6 linked regions of the Mus musculus genome follow. The protein of the gene in region 2 binds, or shares a complex with, the protein of the main gene of each other region. Links are inferred from orthologs where the notes say so. Each region holds a gene or a part of one and is shown on either strand. Other genes may lie near its edges.

Region 1 (4,222 bases), on a different chromosome or scaffold from region 2:
GGAAAGAGGTTTCTGAATGTTGAGGTTGAAGAACAGTCTCTTAAAGCCACTGGCTATGACTACCTACCTACAAGCAGCAGAGGCCAGACTCTTTGGAAAAGGCAAACTCACACCCCTGCTGTCAACCAGGCCTACAGCCCAGCCCTTCCGGTGTGCAAGAGGGCTGGTCAGCTAGGTGTTTGGCAGCCCTGGAATCTGAGCTAAAGACTGTGTCTATTGTAAACCAAATGTCTTGAGGCAGCCCCAGAACTGGGTAGCGGTTTGGGGAGGCCTTTTGTTTTGCAGAAGTACAGGCCAGTCTGCTGCCCCCCTCTCTCCAACCATGGGAGAACAAGACCTTGACATGGGGTGAGGGACCTCACTCCCAGAATGTAAACGCTAGCTGTGAGGTGTGGCTGGCAGAAGATAGAGATAGATAGATAGAGACCAGCAGGTGAAAAGGGCCTTGGAGGATGACCACCTACGATCAGATACTTCCTCAGTACCCAGCAGGTATTGGGAGAAGTGTAGCTTCCACCTCCCCAGATCCAAGCTCTCAGTCCAATTTAGTCCTTAATGCCTTTGGGGTATCTAGGCTAGGTGAGCTCTTAACCCTAGAGATTGACAGGGTCTCTCCTTAAATTCTTTAATGGGTTGTGATCTGAATGGAAGCCACTTTCCATAATTCCCATGTCCTGGGGGGTTGCATACGCTGGTCTGGTACCAGTTAGAAAGTAGGTAGCATTCTACCCTGCAGAATGGCAGGCTCTTACTTCCCCACCCATTATGCCCCCAAAGCCAGAGCGTCTCAGTACTCTGGAGCTGCTGGAGTTGGCACAGTGCCCTAGTGGTGCCCCCCTTGCCTGGTGAGTGTGTGGGCAGGCTGCAGCTCCTCTCTTGCCTGGCACAGGGGAAGAAGAGGAGGGAGATGAGCCCAGTGGATTTATTTAGAGCCTGATCTCCCTCCTACTGCTTCAGAGGGGGCCTCGGGGAGAGCAAGGAGCTGGCGGGAGGAAGGGAAGTTGGGGGGGAAGAGATCTAAGAACCGGGGAAGGTCAGGAGGGAGCAATGGGTCAGCAGGCCGCCCTCAAATAACATCCAGGTATCAGTCTCCTGCATCAGCCCCGGCTTCTCACCAGGGATGAGAAGGTAGCTCCTCGGGCCCTGCAGCCCCGCAGAGAGGTCTCTCCTCCAGCTTATTCTGACTCCCAGGGCTATGCCAACTGTCCCTTCAACTGTCAGAAAGAGGTGCCCACCAGAGCCTTCAGAACCACCTCTCTGCTCTCCCTTGCAACGTAATTAGCCCCAGAGCCCCATGGAAAATTGGGTCCTGAAGGAGCCTGGTCCCAGAATCAACTGACTGACACATGCCTGCTCTGAGGCTCACCACTCCTCTTTCCTGGGCCGGAGATAAAAGGCTCGATTTAATCCTGTCAGGGGACCCTTTCAAGCCCTGTTAGTGGTCCTTTCCCATATCGAGTGGGATGTCTAAGGGGAGACTGGTGACTCCATGAGGCTCTGACACTGACCCCCCCCCCCAACTCTTGTCCCATCTTTCCAGGCAGTCTTTCTGCTCTCTGAGCTCCGGGAATCACTGTCTAATGAGCTGATTTGTCTCAGTGGGTCAGGAGATAAAAGCAAAGAGAAGAATTAAATATTTATTGGTTGCCTGGTTCTCGGAGCAAAGAGCTTCCTTCCCATCCCCATGCCCCTGAGCTCCCCTGGCCTCACCTCCAGGCCCTCCTCTGCAGGGGGCTAGACTGAACACAGTCTGATGGCCCACCCCTGTGGTTGGTGGCCTTTCCAAGAAGCTGAGCTAGAGGCAGTGGTGAGTGAGAGCAGTCAAGGCCATGCGCAGGGGGGGTGGGCAGAGAGGAAAAAGAGACCAAGTTCTAGAATTCCTGTCTGCAGAGGCTGGTACGCGAGTCGCTAATGTTCTTCCAGCTCCCTAATTTGTCATTTACTTGAGGCACAAGTCCGGAGTGTCTCCCCCGGAGCTCAGCTTTCCCTGTTGTGTTCAGACCCCATGAACCCAGGATACGGAACTCCAAATGTTCCATGTTCGCTCTAAAAACCTCGGTGTCGGGGCCTTCTGTCCTCCCCTCCTCAGCCTCCTATGTCCTGAGCTTTGGGGCCACCTGCTCGAGCCTTCCCCCTACAGCGTCCCTGTGCACACACCGGAGTACCTGGGATACCTGGCTATGAGAGACCATCTTCCCACTTTCCTAGAGAGCCCCCCGCCGGCTTACGCGCGCTGCCCCGCTCGCTGCCAAGGCGTTTTTCAAAGTGCAGAACTGGGGGAAGGGTTGAAGAGAGAGAGGTGTCATCCCAACTCCCCCACCCCCACCCCCCACCCTCCCCCGCGGGCACTCACCGCCTCCGAGTCCTCAAACCCGGGCACGTAGGAGTCGTCATACATGGGGGAGTCCGGGGTGGGTGGGGGGAGCGAGCGGCGCCGGGGGCGAGGACGGCGGGCCGCGCCCGAGATGCCACCGAGCCGCGCAGCCCTGCGGGCGGCGGCGGCGGAGAGCGCGAGCGCGAAGGAAGGAGCGAGCCGCGAAGACCAGCTGCTCGCAGCTCAGATCACCGCTCCCCTCCCCACCCCCCAGCCCAGCCGGTCCCACCCCGAGCGCGCCAGCGCGGCTGAGGAATCTGCCGCCGGCTCCCACAACAATAGTGCCCGCCCACCTGACCCCCTCCCGGGAAGACGCGGGCGGCGGGGGCGCGGCAGCCAGGGGGGACCCGCCGGGGCCGCGGAACCGGGCGCACGCGAGTCGGGAAGGTGGGTCCCCGGCACCTCCGGGGCCGGGGCGGCGGGGAAGAAGGGCGGAGAGGCTGCAGGCGGGGCGGATCCCGGCGGGGAGGAGGCGGGGCGAGGAGAGATGCAGAGACAGGGACTCTCGCAACCCAGGAACTGCTCCGCCGGGAAACAAAGGGCTGGCGCGGGGGAGGGGAAGGGGAGAGACGCCGCAACCAGACGCGAGCCCGGTGGAGAATCGAGAGGGTGCGGGCGGCGGGGAGGATGGCTGGAGAGAGAGGAGGACTGGAGGCAGGGAGAACGCGGAGACAGGAAAATGGAGATCTAAAGGAGGACGGACAGCAGATGGGGAAGAGGTCTCAGGTGATCCGGCAATGTCAGCTCTCTGCAAGTCCTGGAGACACCCAAAGCAAACCCCGCAGTGGTACTAGGGAGAAATGGTTTTGAGCTCCCAGACCCGTGCCATGAAAGCAGCTCCTGCCCCAACAGGTGCCCGGCCCTCTCCGTTCCGGGCTGCGGTAAAGGGCCGACCCTTAAGAAGGGGGAAGTTCGGGGACGGTGGCTAGGCCTCCCCACACCTGTTGCACGGGCAGATTTTATCCAAGTTAAGCCGGGATGGAGATTCTCTTCTTCACTTCCCTGCCAAGGATTGTGCCAGACATTGCCAAAGCATCCGCGGGAACTGGGGCAGAAAGGGGCTGTTTTAGGTGAGCTTAAAGGGTGGAGCAAAGGTGCGATCCTGACGCTGAGGTTGGGAAGGAAGAAGGGTAAAGCCTACCGCTTTGCAAAAGACCAGAATTACGTACGGTGTGCAGGATGCTGGTTCTAATCATCCAGCACCAGTCAGCGCCCTCCACCCCCACCCCGCCATTCGAGGAAAGAGTCGCAATCTCTGAAGAGATCTTCTAAAAGCTGTCATCATTTGAGCTCGCTCCCTTTTTACATCCCTCCCCCCCCCCCCCCGACCAAAATTTTCCTTTTGCATTTTAACCTCCTGCTTGGGCATCCCAAGAGGATGTGAGGCAGACACCAGCCGTGCTTGGTGTCTCGCTTTCTCAACTCAGCCCTTTGCCACTTCTAGCTCCTGAAACCCCGGAGGGTGTAAGTTCAGGACACTTGCCCACCCTTCCGGTTACAATTGGGAAGGGTTCAAGAGATCTATAGAAGGTTCTGTGCGGTAGAAAGGAGAGGAAGACCACCCACCCAAGCCAACTGGCTTCCCACCTATATCTTATCTTCCTGTTCCCTCGGTAAGAAAAAGATGGGGGGGGGGGCTCATCTAATGACACCCTAGTCTGTCTCCTGACTGAAGGACCGGCAGGCAACTTTATTGGAGCCCTTGTGTCTGAGGGCACCAGCTGCAACTGGGGGAGGCAGCTTCCACTGCTCCAACCCAGTGTGTTTGAGGGTTAGTTCGATATCTTCTGTGTCCCCAAGTACTGCCTTGTCCTGTACCATCCTTTTCCTTTGTCTCCTTAGTCCCCT
Region 2 (3,500 bases):
CCCCTTCATCTTGTGTGAGAGCGACAGATGGTTGGGCTGAGCCTGGGGACCTGCGATGGCTTTCCTGATCATCACTGTCCCTTGAGAGTAGCCAACTGGAGAACCCAACTCTACAGAAGTTCTGGGCTTGCTGTGGGGCAGGGACTCATTTCTACATGGAAGAGAAAACCCTGGAGATTCCTGATGAGGTAAATTGGGAATGGACTTGGAGTCCTAGGTTCTTCCAGGCCTGAGCTGGATGCCTAAGTCGACACTGAATTCACTGAAAAACCGGTATCTCTTCTATGAACACCAGTGCCTGGTGTGAACCTCACAGAGACACTTCGGGCAGCAAGGAAAATGATGCCGCAGAGCATGAGACCTCACACGGTGACTCCCAGCCTACCTTGCTTTCCCTTTCGGAAGTGGGTCTCAAACAGGAAGAATCACCCCCTGAAGATGTTTCCAGAATGCGTGGGTTCAACTAACATGTTAATAAAATATATGCAACAAATGAAAGTGCTGACAATATTTACACTGTCTTGTTTCCTTTCAACAGTTACTCGTTCTAAGTGTCTGTGTGTGTGGACTCCATCAGTCGTCATAGCATTTTGTATAGGTGTACCATGCATTTGTATATTGGATGCAGATGATTTTAACACACCCTACTTTAAGCATTCTACTGTTGTGGAAATTACAAGCGCAGGCATGTTATCTACAATTTCAACTTTGGATTTTAGCAGGGATGGTATGAAGTACTTGCTAGGAAAAGGGGCTTGTGGCTTGGTAGGCATGAGAAATGCTACTCTAGGGAAAAAAATGAGTTTTTAGAAAAGATATGATGAATCTCAGGCAACTTTCCTTCCAGAGCTCTAGAGCAACTCTAGAGCAGTCACCCTAGTGGCTTATGGGTAAACATACATCCATATATTATAGAGTTCCCATGAAAGTTCTGCCAGACCCACAGCATGGAAGGACTTGCCTATTCCCACAGATGAATATGGGGTTACAGCAGATTTCTAACCTGGCAGTTTGCATTCAAGTGTGTGTAGGACATTGCAACCTGGTAGGACCTCTGAACCCTCGGAAGGGTCCAGAGTAGAAGGATCCAGAAGCAGGGGAGACTCAAGTACGGAAGTCTAAAGGGCTGTGTCTGCTCAGCTAAGGACAGCAGGAAGGAGACGAAACCCCACAGGCTAGGCAAATAGCCCCAGTTTGCAAATGCCTGGAACACTTACCGCCTGCAGGGGGCACCACCTGGTCCAACAGCTTCATGCTAGTCCTCTTCCAGATTTTCTTGATGATGGCCCGAAGCTCCTCATTGGCTTGCTCTAGGTTCCCTGATAGAACGAAGTGCACATTGAAAACCTCCCCTGGATGCACTGGGAAGCCACGAGTGGTGGCCTTAGCCCCACAAATCGCCCTGATCCATCACAGTTGTTTCCCTTGCCTTCCTATTTCCTCCCCCTCTCCCCCTCTATCTTATCATCTTATCCCCCTTGTGACTTTCCTCTCTTCCCCTGTTCAAGGCCATTCTCCTTCCCTCCTTCCATGCAAGCCAGCCCCAAGTCCTTCCCCAACCCCTAAGCTGCTTTCCCTCCTGGTTAGCACCAAAGAGCCTGTGGTGCCCGCAGACATTCCTGTCTCAGCCTTGACAGTGCTTGCCCTGCAGGACAGCGCCAAGGCAGATCATGATGGGAGCATTTCATAGTGAGCTCCTTGTGCTGTTGCAGGAAATGGAGACCTTTCGAGGGAAGGACGGTCTACTCCTCCCACATACATACACAACACAGGGGCCACATATGTATCCACAGGCCCTCTGCTGAGTCCCCCAGGGAAGGAAGTAAAGAAATCTAAAAAGAAACCAGAAGGCCTATGTTCTGGTAGTTCGGACCTCCTCTCTCCACTGGTAAAACAGGTAGCATTAGATGTATGCTGTTTGAGACACTAGGCTCCTATTGGTGGAGAAGCAAAGCTAAAAGCCCATTGTAAGAGGGGATATGCTAGATAGGATTCTACGCTCCTCCCAAGGATACCGTCCCTTGCCAGCAGTGTGCACACACTCACTGTGTAATCCCTTGGAGAGGATGTGATACAGGCATTCATATGATTAGATTATGTCACACAGCACCTATTACCTGACCAAAGGAAAATGATCTCTCTGATCTAATCCCAGGAGCCTATTAACTGTCCAGAAGTCATTCATATATATATGAATATATATATAACATTTTGTTCGTTGTGTATTTACTAAAAAAGATTACTTGATTTTAGCCTTCTCTGGCTGGTAGCAGACTGGTAGGACACATGGACTCTGAGAGGCCTGGATGAATGAATACTGCATACTGAGGGAAGTCGTCTCTGGGAGCTAAGACATCCCCAGGTGACAGGCATCTAGTGGGGAAGCGGGGACCACACACTCGTGGATCCACAAAGTAGTGGACCTCCCACAAAGTAGAGAAGAATCCTGGTCACAACCTGAATGAGGTTGGAGGTAGCATCCCCACCCACCCCTCCCCCCACCCCCGAGCCTCTGGAAGGAGCATGGCCTAATTAGTGTACTGAGACCCTGAGCAGAGCTCCCCACACTTCTCTGTGGCTGGACTTCGGACAGAGCTGGAGCTAAATAACTGGGTGTTGTTTGAAGATGTGAAGTCTATGGGGTTTGCTGTAGAGCGATGGGAAGAGGATATGGCTGATAGCTGATAGCTACAGTTATGGGAGGGGATGGCAAACGGTGTGAGCTCTGGGGTCAGACGGCCTGAGGTCAGGCACAACTCTGGATTAGGGCATGGGAGGCAAGCAGTGGCGGTCATGAGGAGAGGGCAATGGCTCCTGAGCGCCTTGAGCATCAAATTCATACTGCACTGAAGCCAGAACCCCTCCCAGGCATCCCAACAGGCCTTCAGTTCCCTTCACTAAAGGTGGTCCAGGAGTTTTTGTTTGTTGTTTTTTTTTTTCAAACAAGAGTTTATCATGTATCTATGATTTGCCTCAAACTCATGATCCTCCTGCTTCGGGCTTTCAGACGCTGGGAATGAAGGTGTGTACAATCCTTCTGGTCTTGGTGGTTTCTGACACACGCAGTGAAAGAACCCTGAGCAAACCAATGTGCCAATGAACTTAGCTTTTGCACTGGGTTAAAAAAAATACCCCAAACTCATGTCTCCCTGAAACCTCAGAATGTGAATTTATCTAGAAACGGGGTCTTCACCAAGCTCACTAGTGAAATAATGATGTGTTAGGTGGACCATGCATCCCACGTGATTGGTGCCATTAGAGCAAGAGGAAAAGGCCAGAGGCACACAGGTGAGTCACACCGTGAAGAGAGCAGCGGAGACGAAGGATGGAGCCAGGTACTCGACGAGACTACCAGAGGCCTCCAGAAAGAGCCAGCCTGCCAACACCTCACTCTGGGTGTCTGCTCTCGTAAATTGTGAGAAGAACCACATTCAAGATCATTTGTTCAGACCTAAGGCACGGACGCATTTCCCAAAGGATCCTCCACATCTTTTAGATTT
Region 3 (4,261 bases), on a different chromosome or scaffold from region 2:
ACCAGGGCTGCTGCTGTATACAGCCAGCCTAGCCTGGGGACGGACGCTCTGCTTGGCCCCACCCCTGTCCTCAGCTTCTCCTCCATAGAGGTGGCTAGCCTGAAAGGAAAGAGGGTCTTCTACCTCACTGACAATGCCCAGACAACAGTCACCATGAGGAACCTTTGCAAGCGAGCCTGGGATGCACACACAGGAATCCCCCAAATCAAGCAGAAGGCTGAGAAGCAGAAGGCCCGAGGAACGGGAGGCTCATTAGGCAGCAAAGCTAATTAAGATGCTGGGCAGGCTGCAGCAGCCTCCAGGGAAGGGAGAGGCTGCCTGCAGTGCTGGGGGGGGGGGTGGAGGAAGAGAGGGGGATGTCCTCTCCCCTGTATCTGGAGCTGAGGGGGCAGAGTGTGTGTTGTGCCCCCAGAGAGAGGAGGCAACCCAGGGCCTGGCTTGGTTCCTCCCCTGAGCCCCTGAGTAGGGAGGGAAAGACATTCAGCGCTTGAAGACATTTCTGAGGAAGGAAAAGAGGGAGGAGGTAGAGAACAGCCACATCCGGAGAAACTAAACATCCAACCTGTGGCCGGTGCCTAGGTGCCTCAGAGTAGGCTCAGCTTCCCACTCTGCCTCCACCCTAGCAGAACTTTCTCTCAGCCTCCGTCCTGGCAATCAGTGTTTATATTCCCCCCCAAGGCAGGATTCACTCTACTCCCACGCCAGCTGCTACTGCCCATGCCCCATCCCCATCATACTAACCCTGCTCCATCCATCTAAAGGCCCTGTGGCCCCACCCCAAGCTGAGACTAGAACATATACTCCTGCCAGTACCAGGTAAGATGGTTAATCTCTCTTAGTGGGCTCTAACTGGGGTGGGGGATCCTGTCTGACCTCTCATATGCCAAAGTTATGGCATTGAGTGTCTCTTTGCTTCCTATATGGGAGCTGCTTCTGTGCCCCCCTCATACACACACACACACACACACACACACACACACACACACACACACACTCATATTTCATATTCTTGGCCCTTGCCCAGTACAGGATGGGCAGAATGCCCAAAAGCTCCTGCCCCTAACCTCTATCCCAGACTTTCTTTGACCAAAGAGCCTAGAGGCACCTCAGCGACACTGCAGGCTCTGGCTCCTGAGACCTGGTGACAAGGAAGCTGGTGAGCCAGGCATAGTGACTCACACCTGTGATTCTCTACTCTTTGGAGGTAGAGGCAGGAGGATCATAAGTTCAAGGCCAGCATTGACTATATAAGATTCTATCACACACACACACACACACACACACACACACACACACACACACACACGAATAATAGGACTGAATATTCTATGATCCTCTTTCCTTCTCTAAAACTGAGCATACAGCTAAACTAGTTTTGAGGCTCTCTACAGACCTAAGAGCATTCTACAGTGAACCTCAAGACTCTTTCACAGCACTACCTCACCCCAGCTGGGCAAAGGGAGTGGCCTTCAGAGGGACAGGGGACAGCTGAAAGGAAGGCATCAGTCAGCTGCCTCCCAGACTCCAAGGGGCCTGGGGTGGAGAGACGAAGTATTTTTAGGTCTGACCTGACCCCCCCCCCCATACACACCCATCAACCACATCATGTTGCTTACAGTTGCTCCAGGCTGGCCACAGCAATGCAAGTGTTAATGCTATCCTTGGAGAAGGACAAGTCCTAGAGAAATCCCCTGGCATGGCCACCACATGCCCTGCTGGTCATTCTAGGGGGACCTTGTATGCCCAAGAACGCCCCTACCTAGGAATAACCCAGGCACATAGGAAAAGTGAACGTGCTAGAGGGCAGCGCCCCTCCCCCAGGTAAAACAGCGACCTCCACTCCAAGACAGTGAGTTGGCACCCATCCAACTTTCCAAACTTTGGCGGCTCCCACCCCTTGGGGCAGGGGGTGGGGTAAGCTAATGTGGGTGTTGGGAGTAGGGAAACATCCAAGACAGGGATGGAGACCAGGTGACTAGGGGAGGGCCTCCCTGAGCTGATCTCTTCTCCACCTTCGAAAGCCAATGTCTGAGCCTTCGAAGGCCTGTTGGCAACGCCCTCTGACCATCGTCTAGGCCTTTTCCCAGTATTACCCCCGCCCCACCCACACCCACTAGCGCCCCTAAACGTGCTCTGCGTCGCCCCCCTCGCCCGATTCGCTCTCCAGCCTCCCTCCAACTCCGCTTCTCAAGGCCTGGATTCCCCCCAACCCCCATCAGCATCCCCGCTGTCAGCCTGCTGGAGCCAGTACCCCAGCAGCAGGAACCTGGACGCGGGGGAGACCTGGAGGCGAGGTTGACAGGCATTCCAACCGCCTCCTCTCCGCTCCGCAGCACCGCAACCCGACTCGGACCAATAGTCCATCGATCATTAACCCTCGAGAATGGAGGGTCGCGCAGACACCCCTCTCCCATCCACGCGGGGCATATAACCCTTTCCTTCCCGGGGCTTTCCAAGCCGACCCCAAGATCCGTAGGAGCGGCCCTTTCCCTCGAGCTTGCCACCTCGCCTTACCTGTGGGCTGGGGTCGAAGACCTCCATAGGGATCTCTTGGGAAGGTGGGTAAGGGCCCCGGGACATGCCGCTCTTCTGGACCATGGAGAGGATCCTCCGGTCCGGCCGCCCTCCCAGCCCAGCCGGGCGCTCTCAGCGCATGGGAGAGGCCGTCCGAGCCCAGAGCAGCGCGGCGTCGCGCAGCCAGCACCGGGTGCAGTCTCCCAGCTGGACCTCCGGCTGCACGCTCGCCGCCTTGCTTGCCCTCCCGGCTCGCGCTGTGCTCTCTGCGGCCGCTGCCGCCGTCGCCGCCGCCGCCGCCTCCGCCCCTGAAGGTTCAGCATCTCCCCCCGCCCCTCCCTCGCTCCCGCCCCGCGCCGCGGCCCCGCCCCTCGAGCCCCTCAACCGGCTGCGCGCAGACAATGGCCGAGTGGCGTAGCCCCGCTGGCCTCCAGAACGTGGAGGGGCTCGATCGCTGTCCTCCGATTAGACTGGGATGAGGGCGGCCTGCAGGGGACTAAGGGGAAACCGGCCTTGAGGCTGGGATGGAGGTGGGGGGCGTTTACCAGTGTGTGCCAAGCGTTGATGGGGGGGTGGGGAGGTGGTGAAACGCCGCTCGGTATGACTGGTACCGCCTCCCTTTCTGTCCCAAACTACTCTCTCAGCTGGTCTCCCTGAGCGACTCTAGCTTGGGCCACCGGAACTTCCCGGTCCCTGTGATCCTGGGACCTGCCTTTAACTCCTTTCTCCCCAGTGTCAGGCCCAGGCCGCCATGAAACTAGCTGAGTAGACCTCCCTCTCCAACCGGGCTCTAGGTCTACTGGCCCCAGCCGGGCCTGGATGATGGGGTGAGTGTCCAAAGAAGGCCACCAGGGACATTAGGATTGCTATCCAGGGACCCAGGAATGCTTCGACCTCATCAGTTACTGAGGTCTCATAGGCTCTTCCAAAAGGCCAGGAGTCAGGCTTGGCAAGTCCCTGTTGCTTCTAAGAGAAGGGGAAGAGGAGGAAGTATAAACGGGGGGAGGAGCTATTCAAAATTATACACCATGACTGTTGACCTAGGGTTGTCTCTCTCCTTTATCCTTGACTGAGGAACAAATGTCCCAGAACTGTGGCTCCGGCTCAGCTGGTTATTGGATCCTAAAAGGGTCGACCTCCACCAAGCAGTGGTGGAGCACACATTTAATCCCAACACTATGGAGACAGAGGCAGGTCAGCCTCATTTACATAGTGACCCTCAGGACAACCTGGGCTACATAGAGAAGCCCCGTCTCAAATAAACAAACAAGCATTCTTTGTTTCCTACAGTGTTGCTAATACTATGGTATCTTTGCCCACTGAAATTCTTGGCAAGATGAGAGAACAGTAAGAGGCCCAGAAGCTGGGTCTGATGGTGTACAGCCATGTTGGGGGCTTGAGGCCAGCCTAGATCACATCATGAGTTTGAGGCCAGCCTTAGCTACATAGAGAGACCCTGTCACAAAACATGAATGAACAAGGAGGCTGGAGAAATGGCTCAGTGGTTAAGAGCACTAGCTATTTGCTCTTCCAGAGGTCCTGAGTTCAATTCCCAGCAACCACATGTTGGCTCACAACCGTTTGTAATGGCTTCTGATACCCTCTTCTGATGTGTCTGAAGACATCTACAGTAACTCATATAAATAAAATAAACCTTAAAAAAAAACATGAATGAACAAACAAAAAAAGTCCCACAACAAAAAAATGATGGCTGGGCTTCTGGGGGTGCTTAATGAGCAGCATGGGA
Region 4 (4,056 bases), on a different chromosome or scaffold from region 2:
TGCCAAATACATCTGAGCCAGTTTTCAGCCCCTCACCCACCCTGAACACTGTGACCACCAAAAGAAACATGAACTTTGAACACAGGCCTGCCACTGTGTTTCCTTTTTTGAGTCAGCCTTGCTGTGTTGCCCTGGCTCAGAGAGACCTGCCTGCCTCTGCCTTGTGAGTGTGGATTCAAGGCCTGTACCATCAATTCAACCTCAAGGAATACACTTTGAAGGCATGCCAGATTAGGACCTTTTTCTGGGGGGTGGGGTGGGATATCCATAGCTCTTGAGCTGGCCTCTGGACGTGGAATCACTCTGCAACAGGGTAAAAACAGACTTAATCCTTGTTCTTGCTTAGAAATGGTTTAAAAGGAGCTGTACTGCTGGCCTGCTCATTCACATCTCTTGGCTATAAACCAAGGGACTAACCATTGTATCCAGAAATGGCTGTAAAAAGTCTAGACTGCGGTAGAGCTATGGAGATAGAATGACCCTGTTTCAGAATTTCTTTTCCTAAACGGGTAGTATGACACCACCTTGGAGGCCTGCACCCCTCCCTCGGATCCTGTACGGGTACTTACAGACAGCGTACTGTTGGTCGCTGTAGAGTGGGGAGCTATAGGCCCGACGGAAACCAGGTGGCTGGAGGCGGGATGGGGAGAACATTAGAAGCGGCAAGGCAGGGTCCAGGATCCCACCCCCCACGAGTGAGTGCTCAGCCCCTCTCAGAGTAAGGTAAAGCAGGAGATGTATGGAGTGGCTTTAGGGGCCAGAAAGGAGGACCTGATTGCCCGTGCCTTCCCTTCCTGCTCCCCGGAGCCTCACTACTCACGATCTTGCCGAAGCATCTCTGCATCTCCACGTAGGACTGACAATGCTCATGGATGTTGGTTTTGCAGTTCTTGCAGCGGAGTCCAAACTTGTTATTGACTTCAAGGGGGAGAACGTTTGAGTGAGGTTCTGGATGCCCCCCTTCCTTCACCCCGTGGCTACTTCAGCTCTGGCCTGCCTGCCTTCTACTGTCAACCTCAGCGCTTTCATAGGGTGAATCTTGCCAGTCTGTCTATACAGACACACCTCTCCTTGGTCCTGTCCCTCCCCGTGAGACTTCCATCCTACTGCCTCTGCTTCCCCAAGACTCACGCACAATCATCCGGGCACAGACATCGCAGAACTTGGGCTTCTTGAAGAAGTGATCTTTGAACTTGTGGGGCTTGTCGTTGACGAGCTTAGGAGGTTCTGGGGGTGGTTCCTCCTCTTCCTCCTCCTCCTCTTCTTCCTCATAGATATAGTAGATGGGCCCACCCCCAGCCCCCACCGCCTCTCCATTGGCTTGGGGCTCTGGGGGAGGCTCCATCTCAGCTGTCTCTGGAGAGCCCTTCTTGAATAACTGCTTCAGTCGCTGTAGCTGAGGGAGGGGTGAAGGAAACCCATCATTAAATGACAGTCATGGTCTCATTTTCCAATCATGGGAAAGCAACGTCCCTGGTATTAGGGGGCTGGGTGTTGCAGGTGTTGGCTATCCCAATAATAAATGAGACGCACACAAGCGGTTTCAATCCGAGTAGTTTTCTTCAGAGGCTGTGTGATGGCTTCCCAGCCCTTTGGACCCCGCTCCCCCCAAAAGCGGACATAGGTCCAGACTCACCCCACTTTGCGGAGTCTCTCCTGGAAAGGGGGGCTGAGGGGACTCCACCACTTCCTTTTCTGTCATCTTACAAGAGATTGGGCCCCGCTATGAGTTCTAATCTCTGTCTGCTGTTCTTCTATTCCAGCAGTCCTGCTGCACACAGTAGGGTGGCCCTCGAAGGGGAGCCTTTGGGAGAAACTTGGTTAGACAGCTTTGGCAGAGCTTATGAAGAGATTCTATGGAGGTCCCCCGAGAAATGTCCAACAGAGGAAAGACTCCCCAGTCAGTTGCTTACACGGATACTTTCCACATCAAGGAGCAAGCCCAGAGTCTACAAATCCAACATGCTACTCAAGGCTTGTCTTCTAGGTTCTTCTACAGCAGTTCTCAACCTTCCTAATGCTGTGGCCCTAACGCTGTGGTACCTTGTGTGGTGGTGACCCATAAAATTATCTCACTGCTCCTTCACAACTATACTTTTGCTACCGTTATGAATTGAAATATAAATATCTGACATGCAGGACGTCTGCTATGCGACCCACAGGTTGAGAACAGCTGTCCTACAGGTAGTTCTGATCGATGATACACATCTTCTAGTGGCTTCAGGAGGTTTAACATGGTTAACACGGTTAACCCGTCTGCGTGTCTGAAGGTGTGTCCAGAGATCTGTCCTCCCCTACCTCTCTCCTGAGCCTTGGGGGCCTTGTGCCTAGTTCTTCCCTGGCCTGCCTCAGGCCTCAGCTATTTTAGGTTTTCAGAGTAATGTGAGCCTTCCCTTCCCTTACCCCTCCATTCCCTGGACCCCACCACACCCTACCCCCTTCTCCAATCCTCACTCATCCTGAACTAGGACAATTTCACTTCAAAACCCCAAACTACTCACAGGTGAGGAGAGAGACGAAGAAGCCCAACAGACTCAGGTTAGAAGAAATGAAAGGATAATGAAGAGACGACTTACTTTCCAGACTCCCTAAGTCAGTTCACTGTGGAAAGGGGTCTCTGAGACCTTGATGGTGCTGCTGGGGAGGGCTAGCCCTCTTCCTTCAGGGAGGTAAGCCCCCTTTCTGGTACCTTCTGGACCCACACCAGCTACCCAGACAGTATTAGTAGGTAGGCCTTGGAGCCTCTCACCGTGGTGGCAGAGCTGAAGTGACAGGGCTGGAGGACAGTGGACAGCTGAGAGCACAGCTGACAGGGAGAAATTGGAACCAGGAGGTCTGGGGCAGGGCTCGACCCTGACTCCTCCCATCCCCCCCCCCCCCCGCCCCCCAGAACAGCTCTTCTCCGAGTGTTTACACAGAGCAGGTCAGTTCTGGCTTATCAGGAATAGGCATATTCTACCCAATACAGTAGCACCCCACTCCAAGTACCAGGGATTGAAAACAGGGTTTTGCCATGCTAACTATGTGGCTAGACTGCCAAGCTATACCCACAGCAGGAAAGGCACTCCTGTTCAAGACGCAGTCACGTGAAGGACTTTAGATCTGATAATGGAACCCCCCATACTCTCCCCTTAAGGTTCAAATAACCGTTCCAATCTTACCCTCCCTGGGCTCATTTCAATCACGTTCTTGGATTTTATTTCCTGCCTCCCCCACCCCGATAGGTATCTTTGTGTGGGCCTGGCTCTCCCAGAACTTGCTCTGTAAACCAGGCTGGCCTTGAACTCAAGGGATCATTCTGCCTAGCTCCTGAGTGCTGAGATTAAAAGTATGTGCCACCATGCCTAGCTAACACCAAAACTTCAGGCTAGGAAAGGGATGGGAGCTGAGAAGAGGATGTGACTCAGAATTCTGTCAGCCACGAAAGACTTTCTCACTGGCAGCTGATCGAATGCAGTGCTTTCTCAAGTGCACGGGTGCATTTTTCTCCCCTTTCGCCTAAAATCCTGTCCCTAAGATGAAGAGAATGTATGTTACTGAAAAAGATGGTGGCAAAACCCAAAAGCTATGGGGCTGGAGAGATGGCAGAGCTTCTCTTCCAGGGGACCTGGGTTCAGTTCCCAGCACCCACGTGGCAGCTTACAGAGCTCTGCGACTCTAGTTCCAGAGGACCTACACCCGCAGACACGCTGTATATTTAAACGCATGTAGGCAAATCACCTATACACATAAAACAAAAATAAACCTTTTTAACAAGAGTCAGGTCGGTCCCTGTATAGTTAACCCTGGGAAGGTTACAGCTGCCTGTGTCCTTCTCTCGTCTGTCTGTCTGGATGTGTGTGAGTGCAGGTGTGTGTGTACGTCAGAGGCCATCCCATGGGATCCAGGGATTGGGCTCAGGCTACTGGGCTTACACACTAGCCAATCTCGCCAGCCCACAGCTGCCTTCTGTAATGAGGTTTATTTCTAAGTATACTTTCGTTTATCGTTTAAGCTATACTAAGTGTGTATACTTACTGGGGCATGCCCTCTAACATGTGGTCAAAGGACAACGTA
Region 5 (3,759 bases), on a different chromosome or scaffold from region 2:
GACACCCATCACTGAACCCAGCTTTTTACACAGTTGCAGGGAACCCCCATGCTCTGTAGCAAACACTTCAACAGCAGAGCCATTTCCCTAGGCCCTGGAAATCTTTTGAAAAATGCTGTTCCCTGGGTCCCACTGTGAATGGACCTGGGGTTCAGGTCTGGTTTGATCAAGGTGCTTCCTCATCACTGTTAATATTCCGTACTGGATAACTGCTGTGTCTTGTGGCTTGTGAGCTGAGGGCTTTTGGTACAATCCTTGGCCTCTAGACATTGCCTGGGAGATGGATCCATGTGCAGAGATCACTGGTTAATTGCTAAGCTTGCATGCCCCCTACTTTGGGAACAACATGAGCCCAGGTCTCAGTTACCCTAACTGCCTAATGAGCTCAGGGTTTGCACACCGTCCGCCCTGAGATTCCATCACCCTTTACTCCCTGAGGCCATCTCAGCCTCCTTTTGGAGGCTTTCCTTATCTGCTGAAATGCTGTGCTAAAAGTCAGGGAACTGTTTGGCCCAGATTCAGAATGTGGGCGGAAACAGGTAGCCAGAGCCAGAGGGCCCCTCTGTGCCCTGTGGCGAAACACCTGCCCTTTCTACCGGCTCACAGACTGTCTGTTCCTTTACAGAAAAGAACTGCTCCTACTTCAGGCACTTCAACCCAGGGGAGAGCTCGGAAATCTTTGAATTCACCACTCAAAAGGGTGAGGCCCTTGGAAGCAGGGGCGGTGGGAAGCAATTTCTGTCACAGGCTGCTGAGCCGCCGGGAGTCACTTGGCAGAAACCTGCTGACTCCTGCTCAGGATGAAAAGTAGCTGCAGGCTGTGCCCTGTCACATCCCTACACACAAGGGGTGGTTCCCCGCCCAGGTTGGTGTTAGGGACGGTGGGTGAAGAAGACCTGCCAGAAGGCTGCAAGTTGCAGCTGGAACGTATTCCAGCAGAGTCCAGGGCAGGGAGCTTTGAAGGGTTCCAGGACCTACAGTGCTGGAGCAGGATTCTGGGGTGGATGAATGGATGGGTGAGAGCCTCTGTGAGGATGTGGGAGTCCTGGCCACACTTAATAGATCCCTGAGCTGAGGAAACATGATAATCCCATCCTTCATCCATAGAACTCGGAGACCTCATTAGCAGGTACAGCCTGGCCTCTGGGAGAATGAGCCGCCACACAGCGTGTAAGAGCTGACTCAGACACACTCATGCACGTGCTACAGATCCTCACGTCCGCACATGCACACACAGATGGGTCTTCATGCACAAAGCAGGGAACAGACATACTTGTATGCATGCATACACATGCCAACAGAACCTCACACATGGGACACACATACACACTAAGAGTCTTAATGCAGGGAACACTCATGCATGCATGCATGCATACACCAGCAGACCTTCACACATGGAAAATGTATACACACTGAAAGCCTAATAAAGGGAACACTTATACACACACACACCACGCATACACACACAGAGATCCTCATATATGAGGTACATACAAGTGTACCCACGTATACTGACAGATTCTCTCTCTCTCTCTCACACACACATACACACACACACACACACACACACACACACACACACACACTCATACAAATTCTCACATGCAGACACAGAGGCACATACTCTGATGGATTCTTAGGCAGCCCCCACACATCCACACCCACACACTGTCAATCTTCCGGAGTCCCCTTGTCAATCTGAGACAGACCACCTACAGCTCAGTACCTCCTCTGCCTGTCACTCAGGAGGCCTTTGGCTCTAAGAACATCTCCAGCCACGTGGTGTCCCACCTCCTCCTGAGGCCCTTTTTTCAGAGAACCCTACACTTTAGTTCCCCGGGGAAGATACGGATGAGTTCGTCGACAGCACCTGTCCCCACTCTGCCCTAGAATATAGACTTTGAGTAAGCCTCGCTCATTCGGGTGTAAAATGGGAATCCTGGATGCCCAGAACTTCGAACCTCCTCGCTAAGAACACTGACAGTAGGAAGTGCCTGGAGAGGCTCTCGCTCTGAGGCTCCCTCTCTTTTGCAGAGTACAGCATCTCAGCAGCGGCCATTGCCATCTTCAGCCTCGGCTTCATCATTGTGGGTTCCATCTGCGCATTTCTGTCCTTCGGGAATAAGCGTGATTACCTGCTGAGGCCAGCATCCATGTTTTATGCCTTCGCAGGTAGCGTGGGGTCCTGCAGTGTCTGAGTGGGAAGAGGACTCAGGTTCCACACAGGAACAAATTCAGTCAGAACTCAGGTGACCCCAGGAGGGCTGGGAGGGAGAAGGCTTGCTTTGTTCATTTTTCCCCCAGTGACACTTCCCTTGGGAAGGACACTGGCCAAACCTTCCCAGTGAGTGATTAACAAGAGAAGGAAGGAAATGTGGCGGGTCTCTGACTAACCTCCTGCAGGAGGTGGGAACTGGACGTTTGGGAAGTGGTAGGCGTGGATCACTTTTGTAGATTCCTGCTTAGAACAGTCTAGAAGCAGTTCCCTCTCAGGACCAGGTCAGAGGCAGGGAACAGAGGTTGGGGGAGGACTGAGGTGGCAGCAGGAGCACCAGCAGTCACTGGGACTCTTGGCTTTGTCCCCAGGGCTCTGCCTCATCGTCTCCGTGGAGGTCATGAGGCAGTCGGTGAAGCGTATGATTGACAGCGAGGACACGGTCTGGATAGAGCACTACTATTCGTGGTCTTTCGCCTGTGCATGTGCCGCGTTCATCTTGCTCTTCCTCGGTGGGCTGTTCCTCCTGCTCTTCTCCCTGCCTCGGATGCCTCAGAACCCCTGGGAATCCTGCATGGACGCTGAGCCAGAGCACTAGATCAAACCAGAGTCTTTCGGAGGTGAGGAGGGAGTTTCACCTCTGCCCTGACCTCTTGTCTCTCACGTGTCTCTCCCTCTGAGCTCCTCTACAAACAGTGCACATGGACACAAACGCAGACCTGCCCAGGGTCAGAGGAAGCAGGCCAGCAGGTATATGAAAGGGCCCTCCTCCGTGCCTGCCCCAGCTCAGGCTTGCCCACCATGCCTGACGGCTGTGACGATCTGGTCTGGTCATCTTTAGAAAGCTTCCGGGAACAGCCTGTTCTCATTCTGCAGTTCTGAGCATCGCGGGTGTCCTGAGTCAGCTCCTCCCCCACTCTTCTCCGCCATGATACGAACCCCTCCTCTGTGAACTGAACATCTCTCCTTGGCTTCCAGGATTCCCAAGAGACATTTTTGGCTGGATAGGATCTGTGGTTTGAAATAAAAGATCTCGGAAATGTTTCCTTTTTTTCCCATATGCCTTGCACAGCAATTGCTGGTATTCCTGGCCATAAACTGCCCAGCACCCTAAACCCTGGAGAAAGAAAGGAAGGTGTGTCCTCTAGGGTAGTGGTTTTCAACCTGTGCATTGTGACCCCTTTCACAGGGTTTGCATATCAGATAGTTACTTTAGAATTCATAACAGTAGCAAAATTACAGTTATGAAGTAGCAATGAAATTAATGTTGTGATGGGGGGGGGGGTCACCATAATGTGAGGAACTGTATTAAAGGGTCACAGCATTAGGAAGGTTGAGAACCACTGCCTGGGTATTGAAGACTTTTAGAGAAGAGGCAGGTTAGCTTAGAAGTTCTGAATTCCAACTTGAAGGTCTGAGCCCTGGAATTGTTTGGAATGAAACTAGAAACCTTGTGGCTTGGGCAAGGGTGTTAAAAATAGGAGGGGTTATTTCTAGAGTCACCCAGCCCCTCTCAGCTCTGAAGCCCCATGGTCTCAGCTCAG
Region 6 (3,500 bases), on a different chromosome or scaffold from region 2:
GTTGTTGTTCATACCTGGAATAGAATTTCCCTTGCTTGGCTCTCTGTTCGTGCTGTAGCCTCATGTTCTCTAGTTTGACTGGGCTTGGAATAAATCCGATTTCACAGCCTTCTTTAACCAGCCGTCCTATCCACCAGTCATTATTAAATTTCTACACACAAAATCCAAAGTATTAGAATCAGTTCAAGAGGTTTAAACGTCTGAATTGACTTCTTCTACATCAACTGTTTTCACGGGAGAAAAACATGGCAGTTAGAAGCATACATCTAATACCAAAATTCAAGAAGCCTTTGGGTTTGTGTGTTCAGCTCAGAAAAGTGTGTGCCCAGCTCGGTGTGGCCAGCCAGCAGTCCAATAGAGACTGCATCTCCTTGTTTTTCCCTTTCCAGTGCTGCATTTAGGTCTAAGCTGAGATATGTAATAATTGGTCAACATTCAAAGATTAATATCCCTAGCAAGAGACAATCTAGGAAGTCTTGCAGAGTTCTTTTGCTTATGAAATTGGTTTAATTCAAAGTATTAATATTGAAGAGGAATACTGAAATATACTTGAAATATTCTGTATCAGCAAAATGTACCTCTGCAGTTTTATAGGCATACAGTACAGCATTCACACGTGGTTTTTCTCATGTTTATGCTGGTAGCTTATCTTGCAGGTAAATATTTATCTTGAATCTTCAGGATCTAATTTTATTTTCCTCAATTAAATCTATTATCAAGTATTTTCTAAAAAGCTCATGATTTTTCTTTCTGTAGTACAAAATGATTCTGCTCAAGGTATTAGCATCAAGAAAAGTCTCTATATTAGTTTAACTTCCTGTTGTATGTTCACCCGTTCCTGTGGATGCTCACCATCAATTCTGAACACTTGGATTTCCTTTTTTTTTTTTTTGCATCCTTTTTTTTTTTTTTTTTACATCTTTGTCTATGACTTGTTGCAGTTGTGAGCTCTCTAGCCTCCTTCACTTGCATCAGTTAGTGCATGGCCCAGTTAATTTTCATACTCTCCCTGTGTGAATGCCTCCAACTCTAAATTCCCTCAGGTCCAAAAAAAAAAAAAAAAAAAAAAAAAAAAAAAAGTGAACTCTAGGAAAAATTATCATGTCCCACAGAGCACACATGTGATATGTGGACACCAAAAAAAAATGTAATTAAACGTGAATTTTTCTAATTTAAAGGCTGTCCTTGTCTGTTTAGGGTAACAAACATTTTCTTGGCATCAGCTTCCTTCATGTCTCATTTGCTCTATTTCCCACCATTCCATTCTGCTGCAGAAATGATGCTTCTCTGGTAGAAAGAAGCAACCGAACCCTTCCAGGGAGGCAGGCATGGACGTTTACAACTGGACTCCCAGCACCCAGGTGAATGAAGTGGAGGGAGGGATGGTGGGTAGTAGGGAGTTGTAGCACATTTGAGGCCAGGCTGGGCTATATAGTGAGTTTTAGAGCCAGGGCCACATAAAAGATTCTAGGTCAGCCTGGGCCACAGAGTGAAATCTTGTCTCATTAAAAAGAAGAAGAAGAAAACAAAAAACAAAAAACAAAAAACAAAACCCCAAAAACCTAAAAAGCCTCTTCCTTATATGGCTCTGACTTCAGTCATCAGGAAAAACATTACCAGTAGTCAATCAAGGTAAATCATTAAGAGATAAAAGGCAGGGCACACATAAAATTGGATCACTCAGCAAAATAGTTCCTAATTTCTGGGGCACAAAGCCCAAAGGGGCCCTGGCAATCCTGCTAGGAGCCTCTGACTCCTTTCTACATTGAAGTTTATTTATATCAGAAAAGGTTCTGAGACACCGATTTAGCTGTGGGTTATACAACAGCAGCTAGAACTAAGTCTATTTCACAACACTAAGAAGTAAGTGAGAGCTGAAGGTGAAAAATCACATGGAAGGAAACAAATTCTCCTTACTTCTTTAACATGCAGAAAATCTTTGGCCTCGAAGGAGATGGCCATGCCAGGCACCGGAACGTCATCCTCCTGGGCTGCGCTGTATCTGACATTGGTCCGAACTGCAAATGCAACAGGTTTTGTCTAAAAAGGGATGGGAGGAAAAACAGTAAGAAAAGAAATGACAGTGCCTTTCTCCCTTAAGTACAAAGACACCCTCCAAATATTGTTGGAATAATTACTTCTTCCCATTGGTTCATCATAACAAAGCAGCTTGTTAATATTCTCAATGAATATGATAGCTCTCAGCCACATCCACCCACTTCCAAACTAGAAAAGAAGAGCTATTCTTTTTGAAAGCACGGAGGGAAGAAAAGCCAAGATATATGAATGAAATATGCATTTCAACCTTACAACAGGCAACAATCTGAAAACAGGACACATATACAATGCCCAATTCATTGGTTTGGATAGGAAAAAGCAAAAACGATAAAAACATCCTCCGTACCCTGAATATCCATTTCAATTAAGCAATAACAATGTATTTCCCAGTGGTATAATGTTTGAGATGGAAAAATAACTAGAGAATATACACTTCAGCCTTAGCAAGGATTCATGGCTGCAGGGAATTTCGAAAGCACTGACCTTTTTATCCAACCATTTTTCCTCCTTGAGTTCACTCAGCCACTAAAGATAACATTCATTTAGTCATCTTTCACTTTTTGGTGCTTCTGAAAATTTACAGATAAGTATCTGTTCTCTATTGGCAATACTTGTATATTCTGGAGATAGATAAATTAAGGAGGTTGATTGTGTGGCATGCATATTCTGAGACCAGTGACTATTTTCCCTTCTTGTTTCCTCTCTCCTGAGTATAAGATCAAACAGAAGCTAAGACACCCTGGCCTTATAGAGGGCTCATGGGATGGCAGAGCAGCAGAAAGCATGGTTATAGACCAGTACTAAAATCTGGGACACAGTGGGACCCAAGAGATGATCTAGACCTTGAGGGCAGAAAAGCTGGGTCAGCCTTCTAGATTGAAAATCAGGAGAAGCTCTGAGACTGAGTTCAAGCGACCTTTTTCCCAGCCTCAGTCTGATGGGCTTCCCAGGTTTATCAGAGTTGAAGATAAGGTGACAAAGAAAATAGCTTACATAGACTTGGGGCTATCTCACAGCCCTGCTTGTTTATGCTTCTGCAGGGAGGGCTGGGTGTTGTAGCATTACATTTACATCCATGTTTTGATTCAGGGTCATTATTAGGATATCAGGTTGGCTTAGAATCAGAGTGGTCACTCCATTGTTGTGGAACTATGTTACTGCTCTAGGACTGCATTCTCAGGCCAGTCTCATGTGCTATTCCTGAATCCTTTTCTAACTTGCTTTCCTTCTGTGAGGTTGAGGTACCTGAGGTAGAAGTGCATCACTGAGCCCAGTTTCACTTCTTATGACCTTGTGCCAATATGCCATGTGGCATATGTTACATCCTTTAATGTTGACTATTAACTTGTCTGTGCTTTACTGCCTTCTTTATGGCAAATAGAACTAAAGGCTTACTACGGATTACCTTGTGGAGTAAACCCTAGTGGATCACCAAATCAATA

What was found.
Region 1: Cacna1c (region 2) and Cacnb3 share a complex: the UniProt entries of both Homo sapiens proteins name them as parts of the calcium channel complex. The link is inferred for Mus musculus from reciprocal best matches to the Homo sapiens genes CACNA1C and CACNB3.
Region 3: Cacna1c (region 2) and Cacnb1 share a complex: the UniProt entries of both Homo sapiens proteins name them as parts of the calcium channel complex. The link is inferred for Mus musculus from reciprocal best matches to the Homo sapiens genes CACNA1C and CACNB1.
Region 4: Cacna1c (region 2) and Stac3 share a complex: the UniProt entries of both Homo sapiens proteins name them as parts of the calcium channel complex. The link is inferred for Mus musculus from reciprocal best matches to the Homo sapiens genes CACNA1C and STAC3.
Region 5: Cacna1c (region 2) and Cacng1 share a complex: the UniProt entries of both Homo sapiens proteins name them as parts of the calcium channel complex. The link is inferred for Mus musculus from reciprocal best matches to the Homo sapiens genes CACNA1C and CACNG1.
Region 6: Cacna1c (region 2) and Cacnb2 share a complex: the UniProt entries of both Homo sapiens proteins name them as parts of the calcium channel complex. The link is inferred for Mus musculus from reciprocal best matches to the Homo sapiens genes CACNA1C and CACNB2.

Annotation. Positions count from the first base shown.
Region 1 is NC_000081.6:98,633,345-98,637,566, reverse strand, and holds the start of Cacnb3 (voltage-dependent L-type calcium channel subunit beta-3), read right to left. Parts: upstream 2,801-4,222; 5' UTR 2,399-2,800; coding exon 2,354-2,398; intron 2,274-2,353; exon of another isoform or gene 2,193-2,273; coding exon of another isoform or gene 2,166-2,192; intron 1-2,165. UniProt on the Homo sapiens protein: Regulatory subunit of the voltage-gated calcium channel that gives rise to L-type calcium currents. Increases CACNA1B peak calcium current and shifts the voltage dependencies of channel activation and inactivation.
Region 2 is NC_000072.6:118,604,996-118,608,495, forward strand, and holds part of Cacna1c (voltage-dependent L-type calcium channel subunit alpha-1C), read right to left. Parts: intron 1,320-3,500; coding exon 1,218-1,319; intron 505-1,217; exon of another isoform or gene 1-504. UniProt on the Homo sapiens protein: Pore-forming, alpha-1C subunit of the voltage-gated calcium channel that gives rise to L-type calcium currents. Mediates influx of calcium ions into the cytoplasm, and thereby triggers calcium release from the sarcoplasm.
Region 3 is NC_000077.6:98,019,828-98,024,088, forward strand, and holds the start of Cacnb1 (voltage-dependent L-type calcium channel subunit beta-1), read right to left. Parts: upstream 2,801-4,261; 5' UTR 2,599-2,800; coding exon 2,515-2,598; exon of another isoform or gene 2,372-2,514; coding exon of another isoform or gene 2,252-2,371; exon of another isoform or gene 2,176-2,251; intron 1-2,175. UniProt on the Homo sapiens protein: Regulatory subunit of L-type calcium channels. Regulates the activity of L-type calcium channels that contain CACNA1A as pore-forming subunit.
Region 4 is NC_000076.6:127,500,430-127,504,485, reverse strand, and holds the start of Stac3 (SH3 and cysteine-rich domain-containing protein 3), read right to left. Parts: upstream 2,801-4,056; 5' UTR 2,750-2,800; exon of another isoform or gene 2,502-2,749; intron 1,805-2,501; 5' UTR 1,703-1,804; coding exon 1,637-1,702; intron 1,397-1,636; coding exon 1,132-1,396; intron 919-1,131; coding exon 821-918; intron 631-820; coding exon 570-630; intron 1-569. UniProt on the Homo sapiens protein: Required for normal excitation-contraction coupling in skeletal muscle and for normal muscle contraction in response to membrane depolarization. Required for normal Ca(2+) release from the sarcplasmic reticulum, which ultimately leads to muscle contraction.
Region 5 is NC_000077.6:107,702,718-107,706,476, reverse strand, and holds the end of Cacng1 (voltage-dependent calcium channel gamma-1 subunit), read left to right. Parts: intron 1-625; coding exon 626-700; intron 701-2,034; coding exon 2,035-2,172; intron 2,173-2,586; coding exon 2,587-2,813; 3' UTR 2,814-3,259; downstream 3,260-3,759. UniProt on the Homo sapiens protein: Regulatory subunit of the voltage-gated calcium channel that gives rise to L-type calcium currents in skeletal muscle. Regulates channel inactivation kinetics.
Region 6 is NC_000068.7:14,957,306-14,960,805, reverse strand, and holds part of Cacnb2 (voltage-dependent L-type calcium channel subunit beta-2), read right to left. Parts: intron 2,041-3,500; coding exon 1,918-2,040; intron 152-1,917; coding exon 15-151; intron 1-14. UniProt on the Homo sapiens protein: Beta subunit of voltage-dependent calcium channels which contributes to the function of the calcium channel by increasing peak calcium current. Plays a role in shifting voltage dependencies of activation and inactivation of the channel.